Linked DNA regions of Oreochromis niloticus. The protein of the gene in region 2 binds, or shares a complex with, the protein of the main gene of each other region. Links are inferred from orthologs where the notes say so. Each region holds a gene or a part of one and is shown on either strand. Other genes may lie near its edges.

Region 1 (7,688 bases), on a different chromosome or scaffold from region 2:
AAATGTCAGGAGGAGTCCGAACCGCAAAAGAAGCGCGTATTCTCGGAAAAGTGGTTGCAGGAGGTGAGCTGGCTTCAAACAAATGATGAACACACAGAGATGTGGTGCAGAATATGCCGTGAAAATCCCACTCTAGCGGACAAAAACAGTGCCTTTTATATGTACGCAAACGCGCGTTGCAACTTCTTATCTGGTGCGCGTCTTTTATTTTGACAACAAATGCGCACCTGCGGACCACTTATGTGCACCCCTGTAAATAACAATGTTCTGCCGGGTGTGTTGTTGGTTTTCCCTCGATTTCTGAGTCGACAAGCGCCTTTGTTACTGGGACCAGTAATTTTAAGAAAGACCCCCATTAGAACCCATGAGAAATGCAAGAAATGCAATATTGCTCAGTCTGCAATATCTTTCCCAGAACAAACACCAATTGCAAAGAACATACTAAAAATAAACCTGAAAAATCTGTTTAGAACAGCGTACTATGTTGCAAAGAGTGAACTACCATTGGCAAAATTTAGCAGTCTTTGCAAACTTCCAAAAAAAAATGTCCTAGATCTTGGTTTCACTTATCTCTTACCCGTGACTTCAGTGGAAATTCCAAATTCAGGACCTGTCACAGACTGATTCATGTTCTACACAGTTCTTACAAGTGCATAGAAATTTCTGTTCAATTAGAACCAAGTATTTGAGTTGATGATTGTAATTTTTATACAATGTTTAATTTGTGTTTCAACAATGTTTTGATTAATGTTTTGTTTCCGTTACAATATTATACTTTAATGTATAATATTGTAACGGAAACAAAACAGGAAACAAACCATCAATCAAAAAAAAATTGCTCTCTTTTTTAATCGGGCTACTTAAATTTATTTTGGGCTACCACAAACTGAAGAGTCCCTGCCCGAAGGGCTACCAGGGATTTTGAAATTTTGCGAGCCCTGAAGCCTGTGTGACTGAACAGTGATGCTAGACGGACTTCATTTTACAAAGTTAGGACATTAATGTTAAGGATCAGTGCACTCCTACTCAAAAGACTGAAACTGTGAATTCCCTAAAATACTAGTATCATCATCATGATCATCAAGAACTGTATTTTTCTGTCTTTCATGGTATTGGCTTGATGTACTGTGTCACTAATGAGGTCTCGGTGCTGATGGATGAGCACAGGAGTCAGGCTTCTAACATTTCTGAATGTCATGATCATGCTGGCAACTAGGGCAGTGCCACATTAAAACAACCACAAAAATACCAGTGTAACTTTTACACAATATAAAAATGTCTTATCGCAAGGTTCTTGCCTTAGCAACACCATGCATTTACATTCCCTAGTGCACACGACAATGAGACAAGACTAGGCATCTCTGAGAGTGAGAGCCATTGACGGTTTATTATAAACGAAAACCATACTTTGCAAAATATCCTAGTTCCCACTAAAAGCGAAAACAACAAACATATTTCAGCACTTGGAGCAAATACACATTGCCACAGATTGTACAGATTGTACAACCAGACTATAAAGTAGAAGATACAGTGCAAATGTAAACAAACGGCTCCACCGAGGACCACTAGCTGTTCTCTAAATGCCAGGGAGAACAAACAGTGGATGGAAATTACATATGTGGTTACATGGTGGAATAAGCAGGACATTAAGCAGCTGGTTAAAAGGCTGGTGACCCAACATACAACATCCCAGAATGTAATGCTATGTAATCACTACTTCACTATCGTGCTGGTACCCGAATAGATTCACACTTCAATAAGTCACACTTCAATCAGCATTATTGTTGAGTCTTTACCTTAAAATATAAAGCACCTTGAGGCAACTGTTGCTGTGATTTGGCACTATATAAATAAAATTGAACTGAATTTAAATTAGTGTTTCATCAATGGAAAAAAAGGATGGAAATACACTTTATTTACAGTGATGCTTATGCCTGCAAGCTGCAAGCATCAATAAAACCTTGTTCAGAATTCTTTTCTATATAATCAGTAATACTGTTATTGCAAGTTTCATTAAAATACTGTGATATAATTTTGAAGTTATACCGCCCAGCCCTACTGCTTCATTCACCTTCATTCCAAGAGCATGCACAGCTTAATACCTGTTGATTGGACTCCCAATGTCTTTTTTTCCCCAAGCATTCAGTGGTATCCACCTTCAACGCCATGATACCAGTGCATCACCAACAAGTTTGCACAACTGTGCTTCATTGTATGTAAACAAGGATGCCTGTGCTTTATTGTAACGTATGGCACCTATGGTTGCCATTATGCACCACAATGAGCGAGAATGTGCTGAAAATAAGGAAAAAGAGGAGGAATCTGCATATTGTGTTTATCATGATGAAATATGACATCTAAAATCGCGCAGTTATTTGACTCCTACAGTCATAGCTTTCTTAGTCTCAGTACAGCATGTGCTTCACACAGCGCCTGCTCTAAATAACAGAGTGTACGAGTGTACGGAATGTTATATTTGCCGGGTTAGGTGTGCTGCACACACACTCGCAACAGACGGCTCAATCCAGGTCCGCTTTCACATATCTTTTATATCTACCATGTCATCGCTGTAGTAACCACTAGCGCCAAACTGGCATGTGTGCTCAGGACATACCCTGTTGACCGAGTGCACACCCATCCTTTAAAAATCAGTTTGAATTAAGAATTAATTCAAAGCCGAAGCAGTGAGATATAAAACTTTACCTACCTGTCAGAATCCCTCCGAGCTGTTCGGCTGCCTCGAAATGACAGCGGTGCAAGACGCATGTAACTTACTTGCCGTCAGTGTTGTTAGCACTCGGCTAAGGACTAGCAGCGAGCAGTAAACGATGCCGCTTTTTCAGAGATAGATTACAACCAACCGGACACGTTTCTGAAAACCGACATGTAACTTAAATACAAGTAAATAACAGATATTTGATTTCTCGCTAAATAATTTAACAGTAATTACGCAAAAGACGCTAAGCAACTAGCATTTTAATGATGACACCTGCGTGCCTTTAGTGAAATGCGTCCGTGCGGGAAACTACTTCCTCTGTAATATGGTTCCGATCAGAGAATAGGAGAAAAACTAGACCATGATTTGTCATAGACTGAAGTTTTTTACAGACAAGAGGAAAAGGAGGAATGGGTATGGTTGAGAAGAACAGATCTGTTTAAGAAGAAAAAAAAAACTTCACTCTGCTAGGGTATAATATCATCATGCTGGCAAGCTAAACTATGATTTATACTAAATTAATTTTCCGAGTGATGATGATGATAATTGTTTTACATTATTAAAGAGATAAAGAAGATTCTTTTTTTTAAAGCTGTGGTACCAGGAATTACAAATGTTCACACATAGTAAAAATGTGAGCAGATTAGCGGCCAGAAGCCAAACAGCTACTCCTTTAGACTTAAAGCTTAGAAAAATCCCAATTCACAGAGCTGAGACGTAACAGCAAATTGAGCTCGGGGAATGTGGCTCTGGTTTTGTTTGCTCTGGCCAGGAGATGAGCTTGACTGCTCGTTACTGCCTGCTCAAAGCCAGGCAAGCACGAGAAGGGAGGGAAGAAGGAGAGAAAAAGAAAACAACAAAGAGACGAAGAGGCCTGACTGCCTGTTGTTGCCCAAACACCATAATGCCGAAACTATTGAATGCAATTTCTCCACCGTGAATGGTGATTGCTGAAAAAGTGGGTGTCCAGCTGCATTTGCTGTCTGTGATTTTTCATTGTCTTGGCTGAGTATTGCTAAACATCAGTTGAGGTCTAAGTCAGATAAGCAGCGCAGAAGAGCCATGTAGACAAATAACAAAAGAACAAACTCTAAAATCAAACAATCCCATATGCTATTTATCTTATAAAAGCATACTTTAACTGACATATGATCATTTCTGTTTATCATCTTCTGAAGCCTGCAAGGTGTTGTCAGTATGCAGGTGGCATCTTTGTCAGTTCATACAAAGGAATCTAGGAAAACAATAATAAAAAGGCCACAGTAAAAGTCAAATAAAGACCACAAAGATTACTTAACTTAGCTGGTTAACCACAGGGAGCTGAAGTGTGTGAGACATTAGAGAACTTGGCTAGTTACAAGAAAAGCTCAAACAGCAAGATAGCAAACATGTCTAAAAGGATATCAAAGTTGTTTTTTGTTTGTTTGTTTGTTCTTGTAATAATAATAATAAACGGGGTTAGTACAGAAGTTTTTTGTGTGATGTCATCTGCACAATACTTGAGTTTTCCTCTATAGTGGATGTGATATCCTTGTGATGGTGTTGTTCTTGAGTCATAATAATGTTGTGTTGTAAAAACTTTGGAATGTGGTGGGAAAACAAAAAAGTGTTTGTTTACATAAACTCTCTTCTGGAATAAATGGTAAGTGTTTTAGTTTTTAATAGCAATAGATAACTTCTTGGCTAATGCTAACTGATTGCTCAGACAATGTGATTGGCCAGTTGATGAGATGTGCATGTGTTTTATGCTAAGTTACGTATTACTTAAAAATTTAATTAAGTACAAAGATCTTACATGGCTCAGCTTCTCTCCTCCTCCCCTCAGACATCAATGTTTCTTGCTTATCCTTTCCATACTTCTACATTCATATTCATTTTTCTTTATATTATTGCTTTTCAAGGTTATTAAAGATCTCAATAACTGTCATTTTAATCTCTCTATTTTTAATGCAGCTTTGACCGACTATAGAAAAAAAGGAAGCTTTTCAGCAAACTCTGGTTTGCTTGCAGAAAGGTTTCTAATAGGCTTTGTCATCATATACTGCCCTAAGGATATCCTTCCATACACATAGAGAAAATGCTATTGAACAATCTCTCTCTTCATTTAGCATGTTCATTGTAAGGAGGAGCCCTACAGAGACACACTGTAGGGCTTCTTTGATATATGTGGGGAAAACGGGGGAGAAGAAAACAGAATTGAAAAATGAGGCAAAGAGGAATCACATGTAAATTAAAAAATTCCCCGAGCGTATGTATTTTACATATTTTCAAAATACGCTTTATTTGTCAGAAATGAAGACATCCGACTGAGCGGTTAGAGGAAGACAAAATGAAAAAAGGTCCAAAACAGAATGCCACAACTCCGAGACAGAACCAGATGGGGATATGCATGCAAACAGACATGGAGACAGTCGTGCAGGTCTAATCGTTGAGTGACTTGAAATGGAGCCCTAAGATTTCCTCTGATTTCCTCTCCCTCCTTGGCTCTGTTGCAGCATCTTGTAAATCATTCTCAGTTCACTGAAACAAGCCAGTTGGATTAGCTTGGTTTAGATCATAAACATTTGTAGCACAGACCACCCAGCGAGAGAACAGAGCCAAGGCGAGAGTCTGTGTGAGTGTACATGCATGGGTGTGTTTGTGTGTGTGTTTGAAGCCTCCCTCTGAGTTTAGAGGTGGGTACTGCAGAACATACAAAGTCACACATGCGCACACACACAAACGCACACACACACACGCACACACGCACACACATACTTATACTGTGGTTTGTGTTTGCTCCACTTCCAGGGCCAGTGCTCTGTGGGGCCCTTACCACTGCTATGGAAACTAAAACCGGCACGTTCGCCCAGTCAGTGTCAGAGATGAACGCACATGCTCGCAGTTCAAAGATTAAGATGTCTCACTGTGGCAGCGATGCAGAAACTGTTTTACATTCCTTCGGTGATGTGATTAGTTTTTTTCTACTAATTTACTGCGAATGCACTTTCGTTTATTGCATGCTAAAAACCTCCCTCTTGTTATGAAATACTTCACAAGATCCATTGTCACTGTTTTATTGGACTGAAACCCAGAATGCAAATTTGTTCATCATCAGCCTCAAAACCAGCTGTGAAATGTTATATGTCAAACAACTGTGATATAAAGTGTGTTTTTTGGGGACTCGCAAATAAATGTCATTTTTTTTCACCTGACATTCAACAGTCTGCGTCACTAGACCTTGAAATTCATTCCTTTTCACTTGAACACAGTTGGAGTAATTCTCTTCTTGTTTCTCTCTGCTTTCAGGAGGGATCTGAGAGCCAAGCTGGTGTCAGAACCAGGAAATATCTGGGTTGGGTTTTGAGAAGCCAGAGTGGGAAAAGCTGGACAACTCCCTGCTGCAGGGCGCTGGCACTTTTCTCTGTAAGATGCTGTTTGAGGGTCTCTATAACCCATCTGACTGTGCATGTTATCCATTTGCATCCCTCCCTGTTGAGCTACAATACTGGCAATTGTTGTCTATCGCTCTGCCACATTTTCCATTACGAGACTCCGTATTTACTCAATTATAAGACAATTCCTTTTTTCTGAAAATTAAATGTAAAATAGTTGTGGTCTTCATGAGTCTGAGGGTAAATGCTGGATCTTCGGTAACAGAGTATAGCAGCTGTTGAAAGTGAAATGATTATATTTTTAAAAAGCGTGCTGCAAACGCAAAGGCTGTCATTGTCAAGTTTGTAAAGGCCTTTCTCAATCGTCTCTGTGCGATAAAGGCTGTACAGGAAGGCTGTTTTGAAGATCTACTAAGGTGGTAACAAAGGAAGATTAATATAGACTTATACAGGAAAAGTGCTAATGGAAGAGGGAGGATTTTGCAAGAAGAAAGGAGAGAGTTTGCCCATATCATTTGAACTGCAGCTCGCTGTCTGCGTCTGTGTGTCTTTGCTTGGCCACATTCTGTCTGATGGACTTTCTGGGAGGTCTGTTAACCACACAGGGCAAACACGAACAGACACACATGCACACACACCTTTATATATACACTCTATAGCAATAAAAACAAAAGTATATGGAACATTTTGTACCTTTTGTTTAGAGATCATTCATTTCAAATCAATCTAATTGATACCTTTATATTGGGGATGAACACCAGATCATTACATTACACTGCTGAACTGTGTTATATATTATTTAAATGCAAAAACTTGAATTTTTATAGACTACAGTATTATAACCTAAGTTAACAAATCCTAAAGTTTTCAAATCCTAACTCTGTAACTAACTCTGTAACTATCTAACCCCTAAAAAGCAAAAGCATAAATGTACGAAATTAATAAATCGCTCTCCTTTTGGAACATTTTGTGGGTAAGCGATGACTCAGCTATGGATTTAACTCTTTTTATGTATAAACCTGTCCCATTTTATGGACAACACACCCAAAATGTTTGGTCATGTTTGATCTCTCTCGATCTGGTGGCCTTCCTGTTCAGCAGAAAAAAAAGCGGACATGCACACACACACACACACACACACACACACGTGCGCGCACACACATGTACGCATCACGCACTTGTAAAAATCTTCTTTTCAACTGAAATAAATGTTTATAGCATTCCAAACATTTTGTGTGTGAGACAGTATGTGTGGTCCTGTCTGCACCTAGCGTGTGGTTTGAGGTTAAGGTGTTTGTCTGCTGGTGTGTGAGCACGCCAGTGATGTGTGTGTGTGTGTGTGTGTGTGTGTGTGTGTGTGTGTGTGAGAGAGAGAGAGGATCAGAGAGATGTAGAAATGGAGAGCAAGAAACACTAGTGTTTGTGTTTGAAAATGGGAGCAAGGCAGAGAGAATTAAGGAAAAAAACACTGTCTGGGGTATTTTATTGTATCCATTAAATTACTGAATTCACTAAATTTACTAATTCACTAAATTGCTAATAAATTTAGCCTTTAAAAAGCTACAATATAAGAGAGATACACTTAGTACTGGCCAAGA
Region 2 (7,668 bases):
GTTGGAGATGAACAGTGTGATGAGCTCGGGCGGGACATAGTCAAACACAGGACAGTGCACATTCACCTTTGAGAGAATCTCACCTGAAATACGAAGAGAAAAATGTGAGGTATTTAAAAAAAAAAAAAATGACAAAGAGGATATGTCCAAATCTGAAAAGGATTTTCCAAACGTGGGCACGTGGTTGAGGTCAGTTTTTTTGCAAATGTTACCTTCAGTGAACGGGAGCACCTCATGTGGGGAGACAAACTTATGGAAGGTATCCTCTTCATTTGGAAACTGAAATATGACATATCATGTTCACAGAAGTATGAGTATAATCATTTATGGGGGTTGAAAGGAGATAACTCTGACTTTGGAGTAATCTCTTACCTGAGGTGAGAGCTTGAACATGGGAGCACAAACAATCAGAGGTGTGGAGTGATGCTTGGCTGCAAGGGCCAGTGTGTGTGTCCCGTTGATGGCCCTCAGGCCTCCATTTGCTAGAACTGTCTGTGTACCAATGATGACCTGTAAAAAGATCATGACACAAGTTCACCTGCATGCTCTAACATGACTGCGCTAAGGTCTCCTTAAAATGTTAAGTACCTTATTAACTCGAGACATGACTGCAAATATGGCAGCATCTGTGATCACAGTTGTTTCGATGCCAGCTTTTGAGAGGTTTGTAGCCATTTCGTGCCCCTGTTGGGAGGCGAAGAAATAAGATGTGTTTTCTATCTAAAGTTAGACATTTAGTATTTCCTTTTTGACTGATGTAGATGAGCTACCTGGCAGAAAGGAGCACACTCTGCCACAATGACATGAAACTTGCGTTTGCGTGCAGCATCTTTGAGGAAGGCCTCCACGGTGCGCGAGCGGCCAATCGTCATGATGACCTCATTAGAGTGGATGTGCTCCAGGGCCTGCATGGCGATGTTGTCGGTCGTTCCCTCTGAAAAATAAAATGATGGGCACCAAGAATTGGAGTGATTTAAAATAAAAACTGACGCTATCTTGTTTATAAAGCAACTTACCCAGCTCAGTGAGTAGCTCATTGATGGCTTCGATGACGTTGGCTTTGAGGGGAGCAAAATGTTGCCTGAAGTTCTCCTCGCTGAGTCCCCCAGATGTCAGCAACTTGTGGAGGGATTCCTGGTCTGCCTCTTCACTGCTGCCCCGAGATCTGAAAGAAAAACACAGCTAAGCACAAATCTCACAAAAAACACAAAGTAATTGAGCCGTCTGTAGCTTAAGTATTTCTAAGGAATATATTCTCATCCTTTAATCTCTGGTACGATCGTACTTGCTTCCAAGGCTGCCTATTGATTCAACTTTACTGTGAGGTCAAATGGTTTTCTGGGACAGAAGAAAAAACTTGAAACTGCAGCTCATTAGTTTGTTTTCAATTTGAGGGCAGCGACACATCTCAAATAGGCTGGGACGGCGACGTGTTTGTAAATGGTTTGTAAACATCTGGGAAATGAAGAGAAAAGCTGCTGGAGGATGCTGGAGGATTCTAGCTGTTCGATAGTCCCGGGTTTTCGTTGTCACATTTACTTTACTTCAACACGCATAAAATGTTTCCAGATAGTGAAAGGTCTGGACTGCAGGCAGGGAAGCTCAGAGCCAAAGCACCTCTACTACAGAGCCACACTGCTGTACAAGATGCAGTTTACCAATATCTGAATGGGAACATGTGTTACTCTAAAACATGTAAATAGTTTTCAGCACTGATGATGCACAGAAGAGTTTTCCACTTTGACTCACTTCATTTGGTTTCTTCTTTCCATGGTATAGCTTTAACATACACTTGTGGATGAACACAGGTGAACACAAACAGTGGTTTCTTTAAGTGTTCTTGATACCATGCAGTGATTTCCATGACAGAATCATGTCTGTTTTAAATGCAGTGCCATCTGAATATGGCCTGAATACCACAGGCGTCCAGTCCTGTTTTTCAGTCTGGTCCTTGCGCACAGAGACTTCTCGAGTTTCTCAAAATCTTTTCATGATGTGATATTCAAAGTGTTCACATTTTTACACTGAGGAACATTATTCTGAAATTCATCAACAATTTATGGAGGGCTTTTGCAGACTGGTGAACCTCTGCCGATCTTTACTTTACTTTGCCTCTTTAAGATCCTCTTTTATACCCAGTCATGTTAATGCCCTGTTCCCAGTTCACGTAATTGGTTTTAAAATGTTCCTCCAGCTGTTTACTTTTGGTACTGCTTACTTTTCCAGCCTTTTGTTCTCCTCGTCCCAACTTTTTTGGGACACGTTGCTATAAAATTAAAAAGGAGCAAATATTTTTTTGAAAATGGTACGTTTTGGCGTCCTCACCTGGCATATTCCTCTCTGATGATCTTCAGCACCCGTCTGATCATGTTACCCACTGTGGTCTCTGAGGGCTGGGCTGCTGTCATCCTCCTCCCCTCTTTGCGGATTATTTCCATCAGATCACCTGAAATCGAGAAGATGTTTGTAAAAGACCAAAATCTTAGGATAGAATATTTTTTTGTGTATGATTTTACATCAGCAACCTCCATTTTTTCCCCACATGTTCAGCATATTACATATATATGTTCTGTATTGTTTAGCTGTAAGGAAAGCTAAAGAAAGCTTTTTCTCATGTACTACAGCGTTATACCAGATTTAAAAACAAAGCCTGTTTGACTACAATGGCAGCTGTCGCTGCAGTTAGCTTCACTGTGTCGACAATAAACAGCATTCAGCACCTGCACTGCCCCACCGAGCCTGGGCTGTAATTTTGCGGAGCAGGGCTGTCGTTTCTCGGGCTGTCTCCGCAGAGCCCCGGAGAGGTCCCGCCCCGGTCCCCCCGCGCTTCAGGTCGGACAGGAACGCCTCAACCCTCTCGGTTAGGTCTGTTTCTTTGTATGGGCCCGGCATAGCTGGTTTAAAAAGCTGTAACTGTAACACTAGAGTCACTCAATAGTTCCACCATGCCAGTGTTTTGACGAGGAAGCACTTCAGGAGTACATCCGGGTGGCTGTGGGCTCGCCGTCATCTGATTGGTCTGCCGCTTCACGTGCGTTACAGTAGAGTGGGTTGAAATTACAACAATTTCCCATTTCTACAGTAAAATGACAGTCTGAAAGTGAAATGTAAAACAACGATATATATATATATATTTTATTATTACTTATATATCGTAAAACACAAATAAAAAAATAGGGTTATTATCTCAAAACCTGGACTTAATACCTTGAACATATATGCTATTTGCCCGCGACCCTGAAAAGGATAAGCGGAAGCGAATGGATGGATGGATGGATTTGATCAATTTTTAGTTATTTTCTCAGAAGATTGAGTACATAAGCTGAAATTTTGAGACAATAACTCCATCTTTGGACTTATAGACGAAACGTTTTTAATTTTAGTTTTCCTAGTGGCAGAAATTAGATTCCATAATAAAAGTCTTGCTTGCTATTTGTGAAAATATGCTCTGTATACATTGGAGATATAACAAGCTTCAGCTAAAGCATACACCTTTCTGGTCAATGCTTTGTGCTTAATTTAATTCTTTGTTGACAAATATTCCTTTTTATGGCCATTTTGGGCCGTAGATGCTGGATGAAAACGAAGAGAGGTTAAAAGAAGTAGATTTTTAAGAGAAATGGGAAACTGCGCAAGAAAGATTAATTATAGTAATATTAATAGTTACTATCATAGCAATAAAAATAGTACATATTTATCGTCTATGCATCGTTAAAACATTTTAATTGAGAAATTAGTGAACGGGCTGCTCGTTTGGTCTCAAATAAGGTTTGTAGAAACATATGTATATTTACACAAAGTTGACAGTTTATTAGATGTAGTGCACTCCTGGTTAATTTATACATACTGAATGCAACAAAAATAATTTTAAAAAATGATATACAACTAATTAAAATATAAATAACACACAAACCCATCACAAGAGGCTTTTCTTCTTCCTGTCATTGTCAGACTGTCATTGAAAGTGATCACACTGCACTGTTGAAAACATATATTTCCTAAAGAAGTGTTTCCCAACCTTTTGGAGCCATGGCACATATTTCACATTAGAAAAATCACGCGGCACACCACCAAACAAAAATGTCACAAAAAGCATATTGATAATTTCCCCCCGCGCACCAGGCATAGCGGAACTGGCTCGGTTTGTCCCCAGTATACCTTTTTTGCTTTTTCTGATCACTACTCATGCTACGGCCTTCGTCTGGGTCGCAATTTTCTCCAGGACCCAGGTCAGATTGACTACTTTTTCTTTTCAAATATTTATCTATTGCTATTACGCGCTGCGTTGTCTCACTGACAATGTAATTTTCTCTACGTCATCTTCTATTTTACTCGGAGTTGGCAACCCATTTAATTAGAGCAGGTGGTTGTACTGCCCTCTAGTGGAAGAGAATGTAATTGTTCTGCCAGTTACTCACGCCGATCGCTTAGTGTACTAATCAGGTGGAACCAGATAATCTTCCAGGGTACTCCTGATCATTTCTCGGGCACAGTGGTTGGAAAACAGTCTTAAAGAGTAGGATTTTACATGTGGCTCAGTATGATGCTTGAAGCCAAAATAAATCATCTCCCTTTTTTTTTTTTTCTTTTTTTTTAACTTTTTGTATCCTTGTCAGCTGTTTATATTCTCAAGCAGCCCTTGGTTACTTGAGTCTGAGGCTGAGTGGAAGTTTGGCCTTGATATTAAGCCATTGAAATACTGCTGACTTTTCTTGGATTTCTACTAACTATAAGTAATATATATTTTCTCGGAATATGGCGGCTCACTAGAATGGGACTGTTGCTTTATGCAGGGGGATTATAACAGAGCGATAATAGAGCGCAGTCCCATGATATTCCATCACCTTGAAATTAATGTTGAGGTTATTGTCTGTCACAATCATATGATTTTGTATTGAGCCTGGTGGATAGTGATTATGGTGCAGGTATCCTCTGGCGCTGATCTGGGAGTCTGAATAATTGATGGCAAACTATAAATGGAATCTCTAACTAAAGTACACCCTGGCGTCTCTGTATTATCTTCCAGTAACAGTCATGACTGTCAGCCTTCTTCTTTTAGACACAAGCATTTTATTTGAATGCATATAAGACATTTTAAAGTATCGCCTCACAAAACACAAAGACAACAACACAGTTGCTCACCTTTTATCTTTTGATGGCATCTGCCTCTTCTCACTGCAGAGGTCCAATCTATTGGAAATTGTTTGGATTGAAGCATCTTCCACATGAGGTTAATGGCTCCATCATTTCTTCAGATACGCTGTGTTGCATGCATCCTAGCTGTGTTTAGATGGTTATGATCTTCTGGACAGTTTGATTACTAATTACTCATTAGTGATCATTATTCATGTGCTTTAAGGCATGAAAAAAAGAAATTTTACTGGTCATTATGATGATCAGCAGAATTTTTGTGATCAGCACAGTTGTTGTAAAAAGTGAGATTAATAGGTTAGTGAGGCATGTTCTCTAGCCAACCTAGATAACCGCTGTTATGGTGATGGGATGTTTGGATTTCTGGTTTAAAAGCTTGGTTTTAATTTGTTAGCAATTCTGTTTTTCCACTAAATTTTAGTCTATTTCTAGATTGTTTATTACTAAAATTATTTAATTGATTTTTTTTCACTTTGATCTGGCAAAAAATAAATTTAAAAGGTGACTTCCACATCTAAACATTAGGCTACTGGAAAGTGTCAGACATGAAAGCACCAAGTCACTTTAACATGATGACTTCATGTTAGAAACTGTAGCACTCAGCAGATTCATTAACAGTCATAAACAAACATAAACACACTTCAGTAGCACACCCTTTTGCCTTCAGAACTGCTTTAATTCTTTGTGGCAAAGATTCAACAAGGTGCTGCCAAAGAAACATCCCCAACTTCATTACATTATCACTACCATCCTGAACCTGTGATACAAGGCATACAGAATCCATGTTTTCATGTTCTTTACTCCAGATCTTCTTTTGTCCAATTCTGGTGAGCCTGCGTGAACTTTAGCCTCAGTTTCCTCTTCTTAGCAGACAGGAAATACACCTGGTGTGGTCTTCCCAAGCTTCTGTATGTTGTCCATTCATAGACGCTGTTCTGAATACCTTGGGTGTGACAAGTGGTTTTTTGAGCTATTATTTGCTTTCAATCAACCAGCAGTAACAGAAGAATGACAGTCTAACTGAAGTGACAGTTGCCATTGTAGTCAAACAGGCGTTGTTTAAAACTGCTATAAAGCATTAGTACATGTGAAATAAGAGCAGAAGTTGCTCTTTAGCCTTCTTTACAGCTAAACAATACAGAACATGCATATGTAACATGTTGGAAACGTGGAAAGGAAAAAAATAAATAAATGGAGGTTTCTGTTGTATTTAAAACAGTAAAAACACAATAAAAACATGACTAAAAATGATTCAAACAATCTGGTCATTCTCTGACCTCTTGCATCAATGAGGGAGTTTCACCCAACTTGTGAGAACTGCTGCTCACTGGAAATTTTCCTTTTTTTCAGACCACACTCTGGAAACCCTGGAGATGGTTGTGTGGAGAAAATTCAAGTGGACAAGCAGTTTCTGATATACTCAGACCAGCCCATCTGGCACCAGCAAACAGGCCACATTCAAAGCCACGCAAATCACCTTTCTTTGCCATTCTGATGCTCAGCTTGACCTTGAGCAGGTTGTCTTGACCATGTCTAAATGCACTGAGCTGCTGCCATGTGATTGATTAGATGCATGCACTACTTGGCAGTTGAGCAGGTGTACATAACAAATCAGCCAATGAGAGCACATGCACTCTACATGCGTCTCCTACTTCTCAAACATGCCTAAATAGGCAATTCAAAGGACAAAACAAAAATAATGTAAATCCATCCAATAGTTTATTGAATAAAAGCCCAACACAAATTTACAAAATTTAATCAGTCAACATAAAAATCAGTGACTGCGCACAATGTTCACTGTTAAAAATGTACCCCATGACAGATGCTTTAATTTATCCCCATCAAAAACAATCTGCAACCACCCCGAGCCAAAACAATTCTGCTGGAAAGAAGCATGTTGGATGGATCTGCACATACTGTAGTTGGGAACCGATATTTGTGAAATTTCAGAAGAATAATTAGCTCTACCAGTGTCAAGAAGAAGGGCCTATGACTGAAAATGCTTGGATAGCTTTACATTTCAACACCTCCGTCCATTGCACTCTGACAGGAGAAGCTTTCACAAATATATATATATATATATCTAAACTGTATAATAGAAATCAGGAGGGTGTTTTTACTCATAACCATATACATAGGATGTTACAAATTCCTTCCTAGGAACAAGGTTTTTGGTTCCTTGCTTCATTTGATAGGTGATGTTAATGTTCCGAAACAAAACTCTATGCAAGAGCCCATAGAAATGACCTAATTTACAACTAAGAATATTACTGACAACTCACAACCCCCCAAAAAGAAAAAGAAAATTACCAGTTGAAAGAACTAAGTGGTAATTACAATATGAAAAAAAAAACTAAACAGTTAAATTTAGCTACCAGACATGTATGCAAATTAAGTGACAAAACACAGAAGTTCAGTGGTTGCCAATTGTGTCATCAGAGTAACAACAAACTGTGTTTTCAAAGAGCCTTCACTTGATAAAAGGGCACCAAGGATCTAGTTTACTTGGCATGGCAA

What was found. The genes of interacting proteins can lie anywhere in the genome.
Region 1: eif2b2 (region 2) and eif2b3 share a complex: the UniProt entries of both Homo sapiens proteins name them as parts of the translation initiation factor 2B (eIF2B) complex. The link is inferred for Oreochromis niloticus from reciprocal best matches to the Homo sapiens genes EIF2B2 and EIF2B3.

What each region holds. Positions count from the first base shown.
Region 1 is NC_031982.2:15,477,456-15,485,143, forward strand, and holds the start of eif2b3 (translation initiation factor eIF2B subunit gamma), read right to left. Parts: upstream 3,016-7,688; 5' UTR 2,708-3,015; intron 1-2,707. UniProt on the Homo sapiens protein: Acts as a component of the translation initiation factor 2B (eIF2B) complex, which catalyzes the exchange of GDP for GTP on the eukaryotic initiation factor 2 (eIF2) complex gamma subunit.
Region 2 is NC_031980.2:9,344,506-9,352,173, reverse strand, and holds the start of eif2b2 (translation initiation factor eIF2B subunit beta), read right to left. Parts: upstream 3,006-7,668; 5' UTR 2,893-3,005; coding exon 2,721-2,892; intron 2,447-2,720; coding exon 2,326-2,446; intron 1,166-2,325; coding exon 1,017-1,165; intron 935-1,016; coding exon 771-934; intron 685-770; coding exon 589-684; intron 511-588; coding exon 373-510; intron 280-372; coding exon 213-279; intron 84-212; coding exon 1-83. UniProt on the Homo sapiens protein: Acts as a component of the translation initiation factor 2B (eIF2B) complex, which catalyzes the exchange of GDP for GTP on eukaryotic initiation factor 2 (eIF2) gamma subunit.